Linked DNA regions of Sus scrofa. The protein of the gene in region 2 purifies or fractionates together with the protein of the main gene of each other region. This does not show direct contact. Links are inferred from orthologs where the notes say so. Each region holds a gene or a part of one and is shown on either strand. Other genes may lie near its edges. The genes, in order: PHGDH and EPN1.

What was found.
Region 1: the proteins of EPN1 (region 2) and PHGDH purify together in Homo sapiens (affinity purification with mass spectrometry; 3 studies listed by BioGRID and IntAct, with this or other methods). This does not show direct contact. The link is inferred for Sus scrofa from reciprocal best matches to the Homo sapiens genes EPN1 and PHGDH.

What each region holds. Positions count from the first base shown.
Region 1 is NC_010446.5:101,447,169-101,455,904, forward strand, and holds part of PHGDH (D-3-phosphoglycerate dehydrogenase), read right to left. Parts: intron 8,133-8,736; coding exon 8,000-8,132; intron 7,460-7,999; coding exon 7,311-7,459; intron 6,428-7,310; coding exon 6,275-6,427; intron 2,584-6,274; coding exon 2,451-2,583; intron 1,287-2,450; coding exon 1,156-1,286; intron 412-1,155; coding exon 174-411; intron 1-173. UniProt on the Homo sapiens protein: Catalyzes the reversible oxidation of 3-phospho-D-glycerate to 3-phosphonooxypyruvate, the first step of the phosphorylated L-serine biosynthesis pathway.
Region 2 is NC_010448.4:59,786,298-59,795,771, forward strand, and holds the start of EPN1 (epsin-1), read left to right. Parts: upstream 1-3,825; 5' UTR 3,826-3,931; intron 3,932-6,907; 5' UTR 6,908-7,001; coding exon 7,002-7,229; intron 7,230-9,474. Other genes in the region: U2AF2 (splicing factor U2AF 65 kDa subunit), read left to right, coding at 2,343-2,477. UniProt on the Homo sapiens protein: Binds to membranes enriched in phosphatidylinositol 4,5-bisphosphate (PtdIns(4,5)P2). Modifies membrane curvature and facilitates the formation of clathrin-coated invaginations. Regulates receptor-mediated endocytosis.

The DNA.
Region 1 (8,736 bases), on a different chromosome or scaffold from region 2:
ACTCTCCAGATGTGCTGGAAGCCGGCATGACAGACCCTCTGTATGCTGCAGATCCAGAGATGCCCTCACACATGGAGAGGGGCCGAAGGAGGCAAAAATCCAGGACAGAGCCTCCCCCATGCCCTCCTCTGACGCAGGGGCAGCACCAGCCGGCCCTACAGACCCCTCCTCACCAATCATGGTCGGCAGCATGGTAGGGTTGGAGGGCTGAGCCCGGAACAGGAGCAGGGGCAGGCCTCGGCGCAGAGGCACTTCTGGTCTGAAGACAGCTCCGTTGAGTGCGTGCAGCATGGGTGCAGTGCCCTGGACCAAGCCCACGGCCTGATAGGGGGCACCTGCCAGGGCCACGGTCAGGAAGCATTCCGCACCGCCCTGCTCCTCCGGAGCAGCAGGGTTGTGGGAGGTGGTTACCTGCAGAGAGAAGGCAGGGAAGCAGTTATGCCCACCCCCTCTTTGGCCTAATCACTAACTTGTGGGGGTCCAGCCTGGCCAAGGCACTCGGCAATTCGGGGCCGGGGCAGAGGGAGAATGGGTAAGCCTTGTGCCCCCAACCAGGAGCTTCCTCTCTAAAGGGAGAGCAAAGAGAGATCTACCAGGGACAGGTGAGATGGCCTGGAGGGGAGAGTGGGAAGTGGGGAGAAGGAGGGAGGAAGAGGGGGAGGCAGGGCTGTGAGAAGGGCCGGGGTCTGCTGGCCTGTCCCCGAGGCCGATCCAGCCTGGTCCCTCCGGCCCCGACTTACTGCTGCTTCCTGTGCAGAACCAGGGGCCTGACGGGGATGCAGGGGAGCGGGGGTGGGGGGAGAAAGCCCTACTGCCCAGAACCACAGACTTTGATCTAAAAAGGGAACCAGAAGGGAGGACGTCAAAGGGAAGCCCCGAAGGGCAGCAGAGGCTCAGAGGATGCGCTGCGAGCTCCCAGGGTTCGCAGGTGCCCTGGCACAGGTGGGGGGTCAGAGGTGAGCACGCTGAGCTACCTGCCAGCTCCCAGCCTGGCTCCCCAGCTGTGAAATGGAGGTCCTGCTTCCCCTCCCATTCACTTGCCACTTTGCAGGTGAACCAGGCGCTACCGCTCAGGTCGACACTGTCACCCGCTCAAGGAGCAGAACTGAAAGGTGCTCTCAAAAGGCCAGGAAGACGGGGGTGGGGGGGGCGCACATGGAGGCCAGCCTCTTTCTCCAGCAGCTTGGCGTTCACCAAGTTCACGTCCGCCCGATGGGAAGCTTCCTTCAGGAGGCCGACAATGACAGCGGGGCTCAGGCAGGTCCCAGAATTCTTCAGGGACGTTCCTGGGACCGAGAGATGCCACTGTAAGGGTGCTATGTGTTGAACAGCACAGGGGCAGGCAGGGGACCACAGGGGCCACACTCCGGGTCACGGCTCTGCACTGTCCTGCCCCCCCACCCTGCCCAGCAGCCTGCTGGGAGGTTCTGCTTTCTGTTCGGGGGCAGAGAGCCAGCCAGCGGGACGCGCTGGGGTCCAGGCCAGGTCACCAGGGACCCTCTTCACTGGTCTAAGAAACTCCTCTCCACAGCTCAGCCCAACTCCACTGCCCCTGGCCTGCCCGTCATTCCCCAGGGGGCACTTGAAGAACGTCCTACACTCACCCCTACCTGGCACTCAGGACCTTGGCAGCCTCAGGAAATGGAGGCACAAAGGGGCGACTAAAGCACCCGTGCCCACTTCCCCACCTCGTCCCTTGGGGCCTGGACACCCAGCCAGCAGGGACCCCTGGTTCTGCCCCTGCCCAGTACTGGCAAAGCTCAAGGTCAACCTGCCTCAAACCCAACCTCTCCCCAAGTGACTAGATGCCCAACAGCCAATGGAGGACATGCCTCTGGAGACCCACTGCAAAGGCGGCCAGAGCCTGTGGCCCCACAGACAGGAGACACAGCCTCATGCCCGCTCCCCCGCCGGGCCAGTGCCCCCTCGTATGTCTGCTTGCCTGAAAGCCCACCCTAGAATGTCACAGAGCACAAAATGTCCCCACCACCTGCCTCTCCTAACATACCCGCCCCGGCTTTCAATTCACAAGTGGAGAAGGGCCTGGGCCTCACGGAAGGGAGGGTGCACAGCAGGTGAGCAACCAGGTCACCAGCAGAATAAAATGTCCTGTTGCTTCACCCAAACTCCCTTCACAAATGCCCCTGCCTCTCATGTGAAACTCCGAATCTTGGGGAGGTCCCTCTTGCACCCCAAACCTGCTCATCTTAAAAATGCTGCATAAACAGCTGCATGAAAATCAGGTATATTTCCCGATGGCTTTCTGTGCCCCTCCCCTCCTGCCCCGCTCAGAAGCAAGCGAGTCACACTCGGACCGAACATGAGACGTGGCGTCCCGTGAACACGGTCACCTCCGAGTCCCTCGCTGGTCTGTGGCCTGCAGCAGACACACCCCTGTGGGGTGCAGGGCCCACGACCCTCCCCCTCCCTCTGCAGAGTCCCCGGCTCACCCTGTGTTACCACCTGGATGGTCCCTTTGGGGGACCCAGCCCAGGCTTGCATCAGTGCCCCCAGAGCTTCAGCCAGACCAATCCAAGGCTTGGTGTGTGGAGAGAAGGCACTGGTAAGAGCCTGGGCGTTTACCTGCAGAGAGAGGGGGAGCAGGGCTGAGGCCAGGAAGGGGTCCAACAGGGCACACCTGCCAGACTCAGCCCCCCAGAGAGGTCTCACTGGGGACACTTAGCGCCATGTGGAGAGCAGAAGGCACGGGGCCCCCTTGCGTTGGGTACCTGGGGGGTGACAACCTCCATCAAGCCACCAAGACGACACCTTGTTCCTAGAGCTGAGGAGAGCTACAGGGTCAGAAAAGGGCACAGGCTAAGACCCACTTTGCATTGCCAGCGGGGGTGCAGGGGGGCGCTCCCTCTTCTCTGAGCCTCTGTCCCACTCCAGGGACTTGTTTTTCTGTGCAGAGGGAGGAAGATTTTATGTCAGAGACGTAAAACATATGGGGAGTCACAGATCCCTTGGATGGCGGGGTGGGTCCCTCTGAGACGGCACTGCTCACTTGCCTTCATTTGTATTTTCTATCTTGATTTTTTAATTCATTTTTGTTCTTTTTTGGCTTCACCGGCAGCATGTGGAGTTCCCAGGCCAGGGATCAGATGTGAGCCGTTGGTGCAACCTAGGCCGTGGCTCTAGCCACGCTCCTTTGACCCACTATGCCAGGCCAGGGACCGAACCTGTGTTCTGGTGCTGCAGAAACGCCAGTGATCCCATTGTGCCACCACGGGAGCTCCTCTCTCTTGACTTTTTTTAAATGTGTTTTTAGATGTTCCCTGGGCTCAGTGGGCTAGGGAATTCAGCATTGTCCCTGTCGTAGGGATGATGGGCCAATCCCTGGCCCTGGAACTTCCACATGCCATGGGGGCGGGGAGAGGAGGGGCAGCCAAAAAAAAAAAAAAAAAAAAAAGATGTTTTTACCTTGTCACAAAACGTTCTATCCAAATATCACAATTTAAAAGCCTGGGTTCCTACACTTCTGATATGCTATCAGTCTTCAAATGGTGATTCCGGTGAACTTCTCTACCCCAGGCGTGCTGGGCAGGTGGACGGAGGCAGAAGCCACACCATCCTCTAATGTGATAAATCCAAGGTCTGGCTGGCTAGACCCCCCACTGGGGCTTGAAAACAAAGCCAGCTCATCCTGGATCAAAACGTCTCTTCCATCTCGTGGCTCGAGATGTTGTGGCTCTGAGTGAAGCGGCCACTCTGACGGAGGTGACTTACAAAGAGACCCATCTAAGAAGGAATTAATCAGAAACCTGGGGATGGCCGCAAATCAATCAGGCACTTATTAGATGTAATGCAAAGGCCACTTCTACTCCTGTTTTCGTAAAGACACAACGGGCAGAAAATTAGAGAAGAGAGAGTCGTGACAATCATGGAAACGACCGAGGAGGCAGGACTCCCCAGGGCACCTTTGGGTGTGAGGGGTGGCCTGGTGGGAGAGCTCCCTGTGGCCAAGCTCCCCTCTGGCCTCTCCGAGGACCAGAGGAAGGAAGGAGCCCAGGGCTGCAGCGCCAGGCGACAGCTGGGGGCGAGCGCCTACAGCAGCCAGAGGAAAAGCACTGGACTGAGAAGCCACCAAGGCGGCACTACGCCTGGTTCTGCCCCCGTGCGGGCCAGGCCATGCGCATCACAGGCTGGCCAAGTAACAGGCGCGTTCCGTGGCCTCCAGAGGATGAGCAAGAGGCTCCGGGAAGAGCCAGTGCCTTTGGGCATCAACCTGACCCTAAGGCTCGTCTGTGCCTGTGCTTAGAGAAGATGTGAGCTCTCTTAGAGAGGACCCAGTACAGAACAAGGGACAGAGAGGGTTCCTAGGTGACAAAGCGTCTTTCTTTCCGAATGCCTACTCTACCCCACCAGGCGCTGTGGTCGGAGCATTCAATTTGTCTAAACCTTAACTCCTTTTTTCTTTGTTTTCCTTTTAGGGCTGCACCTGTAGCATACAGAAGTTCCCAGGTCAGGGTCTGAATCTGAGCTGCAGCTGCCAGCCTACACGAAGGCGGGATCCAAGCCACATCTGCGACCTACACCACAGCTCATGGCAATGCCAGATCCTGAACCCACTGAGTGAGGCCAGGGATCAAACCTGTATCCTCAGGACACTATGTCGGGTTCTTAGCCCACTGAGCCACAAGAGGATCTCCCAAAGTTTGACTATTTGACCACGAGATTTGACCTCTTATGTAAGAGGGGACCATTTTGTGGGTCCCCTTGATGGGGCTGGTGTTAAGGAGTCCCCTTCAGGAAAAGGCCTGGAATGCCACCGCTCCCCAATGACAACGGGAATGACTCACAAGGGCTGCAGTGCTGAGGCCTGCAAACTGCCTTGAGAGTGGACAGGAAAGGGATGAGGCCAGCCCAGACTGGGTGGCAAGGGTCACAAGGGTCACGACCTCAAGCTCACCTGGGTACCCCTCAGCCTCCCCAGGGGAGGAATGAGCCACTCAGGAGCCCATGGGGTGGAAAGGGAGCGAGAAGCTGTGCCCTCCTCTGAGGAGCCCACAGACACACACAGAGAGAGGAGGGCGCAGACACTGATGGACCACATGGCTTTGTCGACCGCCGAGCTGTCACCAGGCTCTTGAAGAGCCCGCGGCAGGGCAGCGGTGGGCCCCTTTCTCGAGAGGCAGAGGCCAGGACTGCCTGGGGAGCCAGGCTCTCCACTCAGCGCCGGCAGCGTTGAACAAAGCATCCTGTGTCTCAGTTCTGTCCTCAGAAGTGAAAATCCCTGCGCTGAGTGAGAGTCGGCCAGAGGGGTCAGGGACCACCCCCTGGCCCCGCTCCCACCCTCGTTCATTATTGGTTAAATGCTACGGGCAGTGCCCCACGAGCTGCAGAGAAGCTTACCTCCTGGCTTGGGGTTTGGGTTTGTTTTGGTTTTGGTTTGGTTTTTGCCCTTCGAGAACTGAGAATTTAATTAAGGACGAAGATACAAACTCATACATGTTACTAACGAGAGAGAACGTGGCTCATTGCACAAGGGTTGGGCTGGAGCCAGAAAGGCCAAACGTGTCTCCACGGAGGGGTTGGGGAGAGCCCTGAAACCAGAGTCGTGCCTTCCTTATTCATCGCCAGGTCCCCACAGGGCGATGACGGTATCTGGTACCCCCAGGAGCTTAGGGACCATCTGAAGACCGAACGAATGAAACAGGAATGAAGTCTAGGTCAAGTTCAGCGTGAAGGTGAAACACATGCCAGGAAGGGCCCGCTGTGAGCACAGTCAAGAAGCCATGATTAGGGGAAAGGAAGGGGGCCCGCTGGCGTGGAGGGGTCCTTTGGGGGGAGGGGGAGATGCAGGCTGTGGGGCAGGACGTGTCCCGGCCCGGGGTCTAAGAGGGACGAGATGCCAGGCGCATGCTCCGGGTCACGAGGTGAGAACGCCCTACCAGGGCCCTCTCCACAGGCGTCCCCCAGCCGCCCCCACCTCAGGCATCCGGCCATCACGCCAGCCACCCTCCTTCACTCCCAGGGCCTATGGAGAACAAAGGAGCCTTTCTCTGGAGGCAGGGCCCTGGGACAAGCCACCATCTCAGCAGCAAGGCCGCACTGTAACAGGCCGAGCTGGCTCCCCACTGCCGGCCTCTGCTGTCAAGGCCAAGCATGGGCAGCTCCTGCCGCCCCACCCGGAGCGCCGGCTCACGCGGGTCCCTCCTCTCCAGCTCCCAGCACTGCATCCGGTCACTGCTCAGCCCCACTGCCACCAGCAGCACGCCCTCCTCCGGCTGCTCCCCCGCCATCTGGGCCCAGCCCCCCATGGCACACTTACAACGCCGGCCAGGGACCTCCCCTTCACCATGTCCACGAACTGGATGGCGATTTCCTCCCCGCAGCGGCTCTGGGCCTCCCTGGTGCTGGCGCCCAGGTGGGGGCAGCTGATGACCTTCTCGTGGTCCACCAAGGCCCGGTCCCGGGGTGGTTCCTGCCCAGAAAGAGACTCCTCTGGGTGGGCTGCTACAGACATGACAGGGGGCCCACCTGGGCACCTCTTCCCCATCCTCCAGGGCCCCTTCCAGCCTTCTGCTCACTGGGCACAATGTAGGACCCGTGGAAATGTCGCTTAAGCCCCCTCTCTTCTGGTCATTCTTCCCAAGACCCTACCGGTTCCCAGTGGATTCTGGCCACGCAGGTCTCAGAGCGCCGGCCACAGAGCATAAGGGCCACGAGGAGGCCAAAGAGAGCAGGGAGAAGGGCATGCATTAGGGAGACGGCAACACCAACAAGGTCAGGTGTACCCCGGCTTCCAGACGCTGAGAAAGATGATCAGGACCACAAGCCCAATGCACAGTGTGCCCAGGGCAGGGAACAGACGCTGAGTGCTACAGGGGCTCAGAGGGTCAGGACTTGCCAAGGCCACAGAGCCCCTCCACTGAGCACAAAGCCCACGCTCTGTCCCCTGGATGTCTGATGCCAGGGATGGGATTTTTAAGAGGGGTGAACAGGAAATGCACTCATCATCATTCCGGCGGCGGTGAGGGCAGGATGCGGGCAGTGGGTATGAGACAGTTCCTTACACCCTTCTGTCCCTGCCCCCAGTCCTCCCCCTGATCTGCAGCTCTGTCTGCCCCCAAAGTTAGCATGAGATCAGGAACAGGTCCCTCTGAAAATCTATCTCAGAAGACAGCACGGCCGCCTCTGTCCCCAGCTCTGCCAGGGCTCCTCAAACCACAAACGTGTTATTTTTGGCGTCACAACTTCTCCCACTAGAGACAGTAGGCCCAAGCTGAGCCCTCTGCACAGCTGGGCTCCCCATGTGGGAGCGCGCCCTGCTCCGCTCCAGCCCCAGAACCAGGCCGGCCACTCACCTCCGTGAACACGTCGAGCGCGGCTCCAGCGCATTGACCCGACTGCAGGGCCCGGAGCAGGGCGCCTTCGTCCACGATCCCTCCGCGAGCACAGTTCACCACGCGCACCCCCTTCTTGCAAAGGGCAAAGGTGCTGTCGTTCAGCAGGCCTGGAGGGAGGAAGGAGACTTCTTGCGACCGAGGTGCCTGGAGAGTTCAGATCCATCGCAAGGCGCCTGCGCTCCACCCCGCAGCCCCTCCCTCCCCCGCACCAGCTCTTCCCCACATGCCTCCTTCCTGCAGGACCCAGCTTCTCTGGTCTCACTGCTCCCTTCTCAGGTGCTCTGGGGCAGGAGATTCTCTTCTGGATTTGGACCAGACTCAGTTTAAAAACATCCCAGACATCCTTGAGATATCAGTGCGTCTTCCAAGTGGGTCTTTAAACCAGAAAGGCCTGGAGGAGCCCCAGGTGGGGTCACTGGTCCTGTGTGTCCACTCAGCTCACCCACACCACCTGCATTTCCCCAGCTAGCTCACCCCTCCTCAGTCTGAAGCAGGGCTGTGCAACGAAGCATCAACCACACTCCATGCTCCTGGGACCCGGATGCCCCCACCCCCCCATCAGTGTAGACAGGAGGCCTAGGATGGGGACCCACCCTTATCTGGTCTGTGGCTTCTGTGGCCACCCCCCAAGGCAGGGACACACCTACCTGTGGTGGAAGGCAGGAGAGGTGTATGCACGGTGATAAAATCACAGAGGGGCCAGATCTCCTCCAGGGGCAGCTGCTGCACACCAAAGGAGGCCGAGACCTCTGGAGCAATGATAGGATCATACCCTATAGTCTGGGGAAGTGAGAGAGGGAGGAAGTGTCATTATTAATTATTAGTACTGGTATTATTCATCACGGCCTCCGTTTATGGCCCATGGACCATATACCAAGCACTACCATTATTTTTTCTTTCTTTTCAGGGCCACACGGGCGGCATATGGAAGTTTCCAGGCTAGGGGTTGAATCAGAGCTGCAGCTGTTGGCCTACACTACAGCCACAGCAATGCCATATCTGAGTCACATCTGCAACCTGCACCAAAGATTGTGGAAAAGCTGGCTCCTTAATCCAGTGAGCAAAGCCAGGGATCGAACCTACATCCTCATGGATACTGGTTGGGCTCTTAACCCACTGAGACACCACAGGAACTCCACTACTGCTAAGTCTTCCCCAACACCAGTTTACCTCTCATGACCACACAAGTGAGTTGCACTATTCTTTCTACTTTAGAGCTGAAGGGAGTGGGGCTGACACACGGAGGGGGAGGGCCAGAGTGCAAAGGCGGGTCTGTCCACCTCCAAGTTCTGAACCACAAACAGGTGCATGGGGAGGTGGTGTGTGGTTGGACCTGTGGAGCTCAGAAGCCCTTGGAAAGCAGGGAGCCCACGTGAGGGAGGGC
Region 2 (9,474 bases):
GGGGTCCGTCGTGGCTGACCTTGTAGGGCCACACGGGTCCTAGTGAGAGTGTTCGGTGTCCTTTTGAGTGAGAAGGGAAGGGGTCATTGTGAAGTCTTCAATGGGGGGGAATGCTTGGCACGTAGAGGTGGTTCCTTGTAAGGTGGGGGTGGGCAGGGGTGCGCAGCCAGTGGTTAGCCTAGCCCTGCAGAGCTGGCACCTGCTGGCTGGGGATTGGAGGGGCCGAGGGACAATCTTTGGAGCTTTGGGAACTGACAGCTTGTGGTCACTTGGGTGAAAGCTGGTTCCCTGATTTAGAGCAGTGGCAGGGGATGCAAAGAAGTCCGTGGCCTCTAGATGCCCAGACCGTGGGAGCTGACTTGGGTGTGTCGGGAGTGGTGAGGAGTCAGGTGAGAGGCAGGGGAGATGAGCAGGTTGAAGAGAGGGGAACAGTGTCAGTCCTGGGGGGGGCTGGCTTTGAGGTCCTGAGACACCCCAGCAAAGATGTGGGGGATGGCTGGACAGAGCTCCTTCCAAGTGTGAGGTCAGATGGACACACTGGTCCCCAGTGTTCAGGTGGTGGTCTGGATATGCTTGCCCGGGGAACAGCGGGGGACAGCATCACCTCTGGGGGGCAGGGGCCAGAGGAGGAGGGCAGGCAGCATTTATTTTCACCTGCTCTCCTGTTCCCTCCTCACCATGCCCTGGAGACACTAGGTCCCTACTGGCTAGTTTCATCGTTGCACCGGAATGGAGGAGCCTGGCTTGCTGGGGTGCTGGGAAAAACTAGGAAGCACCCTGCCAGGTCTCTGGGATCAGCGTACCTGTTTGTCTGTAAACTTCATCATTTTCAAGCACGCAGGAAGGGGAGAGAGGGAGGAGCCGCCATAGCGATGGAATAATGTTACAGCATAGTGTTCGTCCTATCGCGGTGTATATAGTGCTGGTACACATGCTTCACTGCCCAGTTCAAGTTACCTTGTCTTCATTAATTTCCATGATCAGGCCCCCATTTTTACTGAAACACAGAATATTTCACATTTCACATATCATGTTTCCCCCAAGATTCTTCTTTTTTATTTTTTTTGTCTTTTTGTCTTTAGGGCCACACCTGTGACATAAGGAGGTTCCCAGGCTACGGGTTCATTTGGAGCTGTAGCCACCGGCCTACCCAGAGCCACAGCAACACGGGATCTAAGCCATGTCTGTGACCTACACCACAGCTCATGGCAATGCTGATCCTTAACCCACTGAGCGAGGCCAGGGCTCGAGCCTGAGTCCTCATGGGTGCCAGTCAGATTCGTTAACTGATGAGCCACAGCAGAAACTCTTCCCCCAAGAGTCTTAAGCGCGCTTCTCTATCTCAGCTACTGATAATTGGTGGCCTGGTAACTCTTGCCTTTGGGTCTGTGCTGTTTGCTGTAGGATGTTTAGCCTCATCCGCAGCCTCCACCCACTAGGTGCCAGGAGTACTGTGTGTGCCTTTGTGACTGTGAAAAACATCTCCAGACATTGGCAAATGTCCCTTGGGGACACATTTCACTTGGTTGAGAATTACTGCTGTGAACAGTTGACTTAAAAAAAATGTTACTTTAATGAAGCCACGCTATACCTACCATCAGTACATTAACTAGAGAACCATTAGGATCCGCCTCCCCAAGCCACGTTCACATTTCTCACCGTTTTGGAACGTCCTCATGGTTGAGGGAAATAAGGAACCCGAGGGACCCCTGCCATTTGGTTTCAGACTTTCTTAATCAGTTCTTTACACCTCCCCCCCCTGCCCAAGCTCTTTTGCTTGTTGAGGCAATAGGGACATTTGTCTTACAGGATTCCCCAGGCTCTCAGTTAGGCTGCTTTTACCTCCTCTCTCTACACTTCCGTAAACTGGTGGCTCAGGCAAGATGAGAAGCCTGAGGAGATCAAGGTTTCAGGTTTTGTCTTTCCAGTCAACCTGGGTTTGGATAGAAATTTCCAAGTTTTCCTCACTTCATCCCTTGTCCAGGGGAGACATCCATGTCCTTGGGTGGTGGAGGGACCCCCCCCCCCCCCCCCCCGAGCATGGTGCCTGATGCAGGGGAGACACTCAACACAAGTGGCCTCTCTCTGAGTTTACGCCTGGCCTCTGTTCTGTGGGGCTCTTGACTCCAGCTGCCTTTGCAGGTCTTTCCTCTGTTTCATTCTTTGATCCTGGGGTGCTGGAGGAGGTTTGGATAAATGTCCCCACACCGGCAGTGAGCCCCCTCTCGCTGCCTGGGAGTTCTGAGTTGGGGGTAGATGCTGGCTGGTTGCTGTGAGGGAGCCAGCTCATCCTCGAAGGCAGAGGCTGGTTGGTCTTCACACCTTGGCTCTTGTTCCCGCAGATCTTCGTGGAGTTCACCTCTGTGTTTGACTGCCAGAAAGCCATGCAGGGCCTGACGGGTCGCAAGTTCGCCAACAGAGTGGTTGTCACAAAGTACTGTGACCCCGACTCTTACCACCGCCGGGACTTCTGGTAGAGGCGGCGGGGGAGGGCAGGGGCAGGGCTGGCTGGGGGCTTCTCCCCCTCCCGCTCCCCCTCTTTTCCCCCTCTGAAGACCATGGGCAGAGGAGTGACAGCCGAATGACAGAATGACAGCCTGACAGCCGGCAGCAACTGGAATGGCAGCAATTAAGGGTGGGGGGTGGGGTGGGGCTTGGGGCGGGGAGGGACGGGGGAGTGCTCACACAGGCCCACACAGATACACACACAGAGGGAAGGGGGGGGCGGGGTGCGCAACAGGGCTGGGTCGGATCCCCACGGCCCCTCTCCGAAACAGTCTTTCCTCCCTTACACTCCCTTTCTCTTCCTCCTCCCACCGTAGAAACGTAGCGTGTTTATATTTTATGGCCAAACTATTTTGAATTTTGTTGTCCGGCCCCAGTTACGCTGCCCTCTCCCCTTTCAGGACCACAGCTCCCGTCCTCTTGGCCTCTGGTCCTCTCCGCGGTGTTGTCCTTGGTTTCTTATGTAGCTGATTCTTTCCACTTTAGTTTCTCCAGACCTGCCCCCCAGCCCCGTCACCCCGTCCCTCTCCTACTCTCTGTGGCAGTTTCATATTTGCTAAGACGAATTTGCTCATTAAACATTTTGTTGTATTTTACTTTATGGAGCTGCTCTTTGTCTGGTGTATGTAACCCCCACCCTTCCATTTCTCGGGGTTCCTTTGGCCTAGGCTGAGGCGTCGGTCCCGGAGGCCCGGCAGTCCTCAGCGTCACCCCGGCCACGACGCCCCGGCGCCCTTGGCACGCTGCAGGTGGCACACCCCGCCTGCGTGGCCTGCTGGTCCAGGAGGACGGTGTAGGGCGTGGCCCTGGAGAGGAGGGTGCCGAGCCCGCCTGAGGTGGCGGGTGGCGGCGGCGGGAGCCGTCTGGGCTCGTGGGCCCGGAGCTCAGGTCGCCCCGAGGGTCCGGCACTGGCGTGCGGGGGCGGTCTGGGGACAGCGCGGCTTCCCGGTTCGGTCGAGCGCGCCCGGCGGCCCCGCGCTGCGCCCCGCCCCTTTCTGTGCGTTCCCGGGGTCTGGAGGCTGCGGCGGCAACCGGGCGAGTGGCGCCTGACGACGAGGTCAGCGCGCCGGAAGTGACGCCGCGCGGCCAGGTGGGGGCTGGGGGCTGGAGTCTGCGCAGGCTTGCCGCCGCAGAGGGGCGACCGGGCGGGTCGAGCAGCCACTTCCGCTTCCGGTCCATCGCCTTCGGTTGCTTCCCGTCTGTTCGGTGGCTCCCCTCCCCCGCCCGGCTCTCCGCGCCCTTCCCGGGCGGCGGGGCGGCGGGGCCGTCGGTGTGCGGTCTTCCGTGTGTCCGCGCGTGCGTCCAAGCGCGGCTCCGCATCCACCGCCCGCGGCCCGGCGCGCGCCCAGCGACACCGAGGCCGAGCGGGGGCTGGCTGGGGGGCTGCCCGCCATGACCCCCCGGAGCGCGGCTTGAGGGGGCCCAGGTGAGTGCGGGCGGCGGGCGGCGGGCGGGCGCGCTCAGGCGTCTCCACGGTCTTTGTGTGTCTGCGCTGGGCCGGCCTTGGACCGCCCGCGGCTCCGACTCTCCCGCGTCTCTGTCCGCGCCTGGGCCTCCCGCGGGCCTCCGCCTGGGCCTCGCTGCCGCTCGGGTCCGTTTCGGTGCTTTTACACGGCGCTGTCCTTGCTTGTCCGTGTCGGGTCTGGTTCTGCGTTTCTGTCGCATTTCAGCGTGTGATGGGCAGGATTAGTGTCCGTGTCTAGGCTCCGCAGCTGTCTCCGCTCTGTCTCTGTGCATCTCCCCCGGCCCGCCGTCTTCCCCTATTACTTCTGTCCTGGTACTCTTGTCCTCCAACCCCGACTCCCTCTCCGGGGGGTCTGTCGCTTGGCCTAGGATAACCCCTTCCCCTGGGTTCTTGAGTTCCGAGTGATGAAGAACCCGGCTGTGGAATCAGAGGCCCATTTTTTGTAAGTCTGTAATGTTTGTCTGGTAATTCATCTCCAGGCCACAGTTTCCCAGTCTTTAAAGTTAGGGTATTCAGAGTTCCTACATAATAGGGCTGCTGTGATCATTCACCAAGGCAAAGTGCCCAGCCCTTGTGCATAGTAAGTGTGTGGTGAACTGCTGGGAGCTCTGGGTTCCGTTATTATTACTTACAGATTTTCTCTTGCATACACTTAACGTGGGTCATTGGAGCACCCCTTGGAGAATTTTGCGGTATCGCTTGTCTTGTATTTAGTTTAATAATTATTTTTGGGTCAGCTCATTTTGGAAAAACCTGTTTTCCTCCTACATAGTATCTGTGGAGTCTTAGGTTTGCCCTGTCAGTTGAATGTTGCTTCAGTACACTTGTATAAATACACGATGTTAAGATACCACATTTTTTGATGCCTCCCTTTTGGAAATACTGTTTTTTTTTTTTTTCCCCTATTAAAACAGCAGCCAACATTATTGAGCTCCTGTTATCTGTGGGGCGCAGTGCCAAGCACTTTATGTACCCATTGTATTTAATCAACAAGCCTGCCAGGTAGAAATCCTTTCCTTCATTTAAGAGTTGAGCAAACTGAATCTCCAGAGGGCCAGGATTTCATGTTCTTTCCTTTCGCTCCCATTTTCCTTGTCTCCTTTTTCGCAGTCCCAGCTTACTGCCTCTTTTATCTTCAGGGCCTCTGTCCTTGCTCTTTGCCTGCCTACCCCGCTGTCTCCCCATGTTCCTTTATCTGTTTTCCTGTGTCTTTTGTCTGCCCAGGCTTCTCCGTGCCTCTTTCTCCACCTTCATGCCCTGTCCTCTTGGTCTCCTGTTCTGTTGGTCACATCAGCTCTTGTTGCCAGTGTGTCCGGCTGGGCCTGTCTTAGCATCCAGGCTGTTGCTTTTCAGCTGTTCACATCTGTCTCCAAGTGCCTGGCTCTCCTGCGGTCAAGGCAGGGGCCAGCTGCCTCCCCTGGGACTCCGGTTGGGGGAGGTCTCCGTCTTGGGCTAGCATGTTGGGCGAGTCCGTGGATGGTGTGTGTGCCCAGAGCCTGCTGGGATCGAGGCCCGTGAAGCAGGGTGAGGGGCGGACCACCGTCTGCCTCGTTTCCTCCCCTGTGAGGTGTGGGGCGGAGTTACGTCTCCAGGTGTGAGGCACTGAGAGGCACACCTGGCGCAGGCAAAGGGCTGTGATGACCTCACTCGCCTGACCCCTCCTTTGCCTTCTGTTTGTTTCCCATCGCCTTCCTCTCAGCACAGGTTAACTTAGACGTGTGTTTGGGAGCCACGCCGGCCTGGAGTTGAGTGTGCACTGCCAGGCCTAGCGTGTGACCTTGGTTGGGTCATTTAACCTCCAGAGCCCCATCGCCTCCTCTGTTCGAACCCTACCCGCCTGCTGTGTTTAATGAGATAATGCACGTCTTGTGCTCTTGCTCCCTGACCGCCTGGCACCAAGAGGGCGCCCGGCCCGTGGGCTGTGCTGTCCTTATCTCTCCTGCCCTGAGCCTTCCCACCCGTGGGACCCCCCGTCCCTCTGGCATTCCCTCCCATCCGTCTCTGCTCCCCTTGTCGGCCTCCCCCCGCTCTGTGTGTCCTTGTTTCTACAGTGGGTTCTGCCCCCCAGGCCCTGCTCCAGAGGTCTTTCCTGTCCTGCCTCCTTCTCTTCCTTCCTGTGCTGTTTATTGAGTGGCTCTTCCGGGCCAGCTCCTCTAATGGGAAAAGCCGTGTCCACAGCCCCACAGGGGCTCTTGGCGCGGCTTCAGCCACACAATGAAACGGTAGGAAAATCATGAGGAAGGAGTTCCTGCTGTGGTGCAGTGGAGTAAGAACCTGACTGTAGCGGCTTGGGTTCCTGCGGAGGCGTGAGTTCCATCCCCCGCCCGGTTCAGTGGGTGAAAGGATGTGGTGTAGGTCTCAGCTGTGGCTTGGATTCAGTCCCTGGCAGGGAACTTCCACATGCAGAGGGTGTAGCCACTTAAAAAAAAGAAAAAGGGAAGGAAAAGCACAGGGCGACTGAATCTGCTGTCAGGGTGGCCCTGGGAACGACAGCTGCGGTGTTGGGGTGGGTCAGGCCTGGGAGGTTTCAGCGGAGTCCTGTGGGTGAGTGGGGGGGCGAGTCCCCCGTGAGAGGGGGAGGAAGAGCGTGGGGACTGCCTCCTGACAGCACCCCCCCCCCCCGCCACCCCTCGGATCGCCGGCTTTTCTTCAGTTCTCTGGTTACGGAACGCAGCCCCATTTCCCAGAGGAGAAAACCGAGGTGCAGGAGTTGCTGGGCTGGGAGGTGGCGAGCCCCCTTGGGCCTGCGGTCAGCCCCTGCGTACTCCGCCTGGCTCCGCGGGGCCTCAGGCCGGAAGGAGCCGGGCTCCTTCCAGGAGCTGAGGGATGCCTGGGGGCCTCGGGCGGAGGTCAGCAGGGCTGGAGACAGGACCTCGGCCTCCGCCCCGCACGCGCTGGGCTCCGGCCGGGTGGCCATGGGTCCTCTCCTCTCCACAGATGTGGTGACCTGCCGTCACTGTCGTGGCCTCCCCCCCCAGCTGCCCCGTCGCTGCTCGCCCGGGGGCCGCCCCCTTCCGCGCCGCCCGCCACCATGTCGACCTCGTCGCTGCGGCGCCAGATGAAAAACATCGTCCACAACTACTCGGAGGCTGAGATCAAGGTGCGCGAGGCCACGAGCAACGACCCCTGGGGCCCGTCCAGCTCCCTCATGTCCGAGATCGCCGACCTCACCTACAACGTGGTGGCCTTCTCGGAGATAATGAGCATGATCTGGAAGCGGCTCAACGACCACGGCAAGAACTGGCGGCACGTGTACAAGGTCAGTGCCTGGCCCGCCGCCGCCGCCGCCACTGCCGCAGACCCCTCCGGGTGGGCGCAGAACTGGGGGGCGCGGACCTCCCCCTTCCTGGTGGCTCAGAGGGGCTGGGGTTCTGCATCTTCGCGTAAAATCTCTGTCTTGTCCCGTGACGGTGACGGACGTAACGTTTTAGGGATTTTGAGCCTTGGGGTGTTCGGAGAAATGGCATGTTCACAGGATTGAGCCCTTAGAAGGCCCCACCCGTCTGGGTTTGGAGCTCAGTTCCTCCCCCAGGGGCAGCCCGTGTCCCCCGCTTCTGCCCTCTGCGGTGATGTGTGTGTGGCTCCGGGCAGATGGGCAGCGCCGGGACTCTTGGGGATCCGTGGGGTGGCTCTGTGTCTTCACTGCCTCAGTGGCTCTTCGGTCACGTGAGTTACCAGAGCTTAAGACCGTACATGAGAAAGAGTGTGTTTTACTCTGTGTAAGTTATGCTGCAGTTTTAAAAAAGGAAAAGCATTTTAGGGATCATTCTCTGTTAGGGCAACAAAAGTCTGTTCCTTTTTTTTTTTTCCAATTTCGTTCCTGTCCACCGTATGGACTGGTCGTGATTGATGTGACCAGCTGCCTTGTGATGGATTGTAAGTGGCTTGCAGTGTTTTGCTCTTACAAAGCAGACGGCCGCAAATACCTGTGTGTGTTTGCAGTTTTCCAGAGTGAGTGTGCGTGTGTCAGTGGGCGCTTCAGCCTGTTTACCAAAATGGCACAGTGGACAGGTGGACCGACAGGCCACAGGTTTTGGGTACAGGGAACTTGGTTGCAGGCGGCACTCAGTGGCTGAGTTTCCTGTCTGACTGCTGCCCTGGAGACCTGGGGCCTGGTGTCCCAAGGTTGAGTCAAGAAGGGGCCGAGGTCACGGGCTGAGGGCCAGGCCCCCCTCCCAGCAATGCGGCCTCAGGCCGGTCCAGGGTCTCTGTGTGTGCATCCAGCTCCTGGGGCCCAGGCTGGCGAGCGAGGCCCAGAAGTGTGGGTGAGTCCTTTTGTCACCTGCTCTGTGTGTGGCGGTGGACAAGACAGGTTAGGCTCCCGGTCTCAGGGACCAGACTGGTGCCTGTGCCGGACTCTCTGTCTCTCTAGGCGAGGAGGCTGAGGCCAAGGGCAGATGGCAGCTGCCTTTGGAGCTGGGGGTTGAGCCTCCTGGCCCTGGCTCCTCTCTAGGCCCTCCCTGCAAAGCGGGCTTGGGCGGGTGATTTGAGTCAGTTGTGAGGCAGTGGGCAGGGCAGCGGGGAAGCTGGGAAGCCTTGGTGTGGAGGGGCGCGGCGGGGAGGGGCCTGAGGGCTTGAAAGAGGGGGAGAAGCTTGGTGGGGTGGGGGGACTGGTGGGTGAGGGGAGGTGAGTCCTGAGGGCGCTGGTGGCTGGGGAAGCCTGCAGTGGGCAGAGCAGTGGGCAAAGCTCAGTGGAAGTACTTTTTCTGAGTGAGGAAACTGAGGCACAGAGACTGGGGGGCCTGGAGGGGAGCCCCTGAGCCCACCCGTTAACTCTGGGCTGTGTCACCTGACTTCTCTGGGGATGGCAGGGCCTCGGTCTTGGCAAAGTACGGCCCTCGGGCCCCCGCCTGGCTTTGTACATCAAGCTTTACCCGCACGCGGCCGTGGGGTGGGGTCGCGTTCGTGGGATGGAGACCGCAGGGCCCCAGAGCCGGGGCGTCTGTCACCTGGCCCCTTGCAGAGAAAGCGCGCCTGTCCCTGCTCACACTGCGGCCTACTCGATGCAGGTAGACGGTCCATCGAGGCGCGCGTTCTGAGTGTGCACAGCCCTGCAGCCCCTGCCGGGTGCAGGCAGGACGCTCGGCCCGAGGCGCTGCGCCGGCCGTCTGCCTGCCGAGCCTGTTCCGGCCATGTGGGCCCCGGGCCGGCCTCCCGTGTTCGCTGTTGCACCGGGGAGGTGGAGGCGTGCGTGTGGCGGTGGCTCGCTGTGTCCAGGGCCGTGTGCGGTGGTCCTTCCTACAACGGCTCTATGGCCCACAGGAGTTCTCTTCACCCTTGCTGGATACATGGTTCATGCCCACCTCCTTGGTCTCTTAAACTGCAATTGCACAGTCCTCAGAGCTCTGAAAACAAGTTCGCAAAATTTGTTGGGTGCCCAGGCCCTGTCTCCACTGGAGTGAGGACGTCTGTCTGGGATCTGTGGGTCCCACGCAGCATGACGGCTGTTAGGTGTGGTGTGTGTGCGTCTTTATGGTCTGACCTCCAAGGCGCAGGCTGGCCCA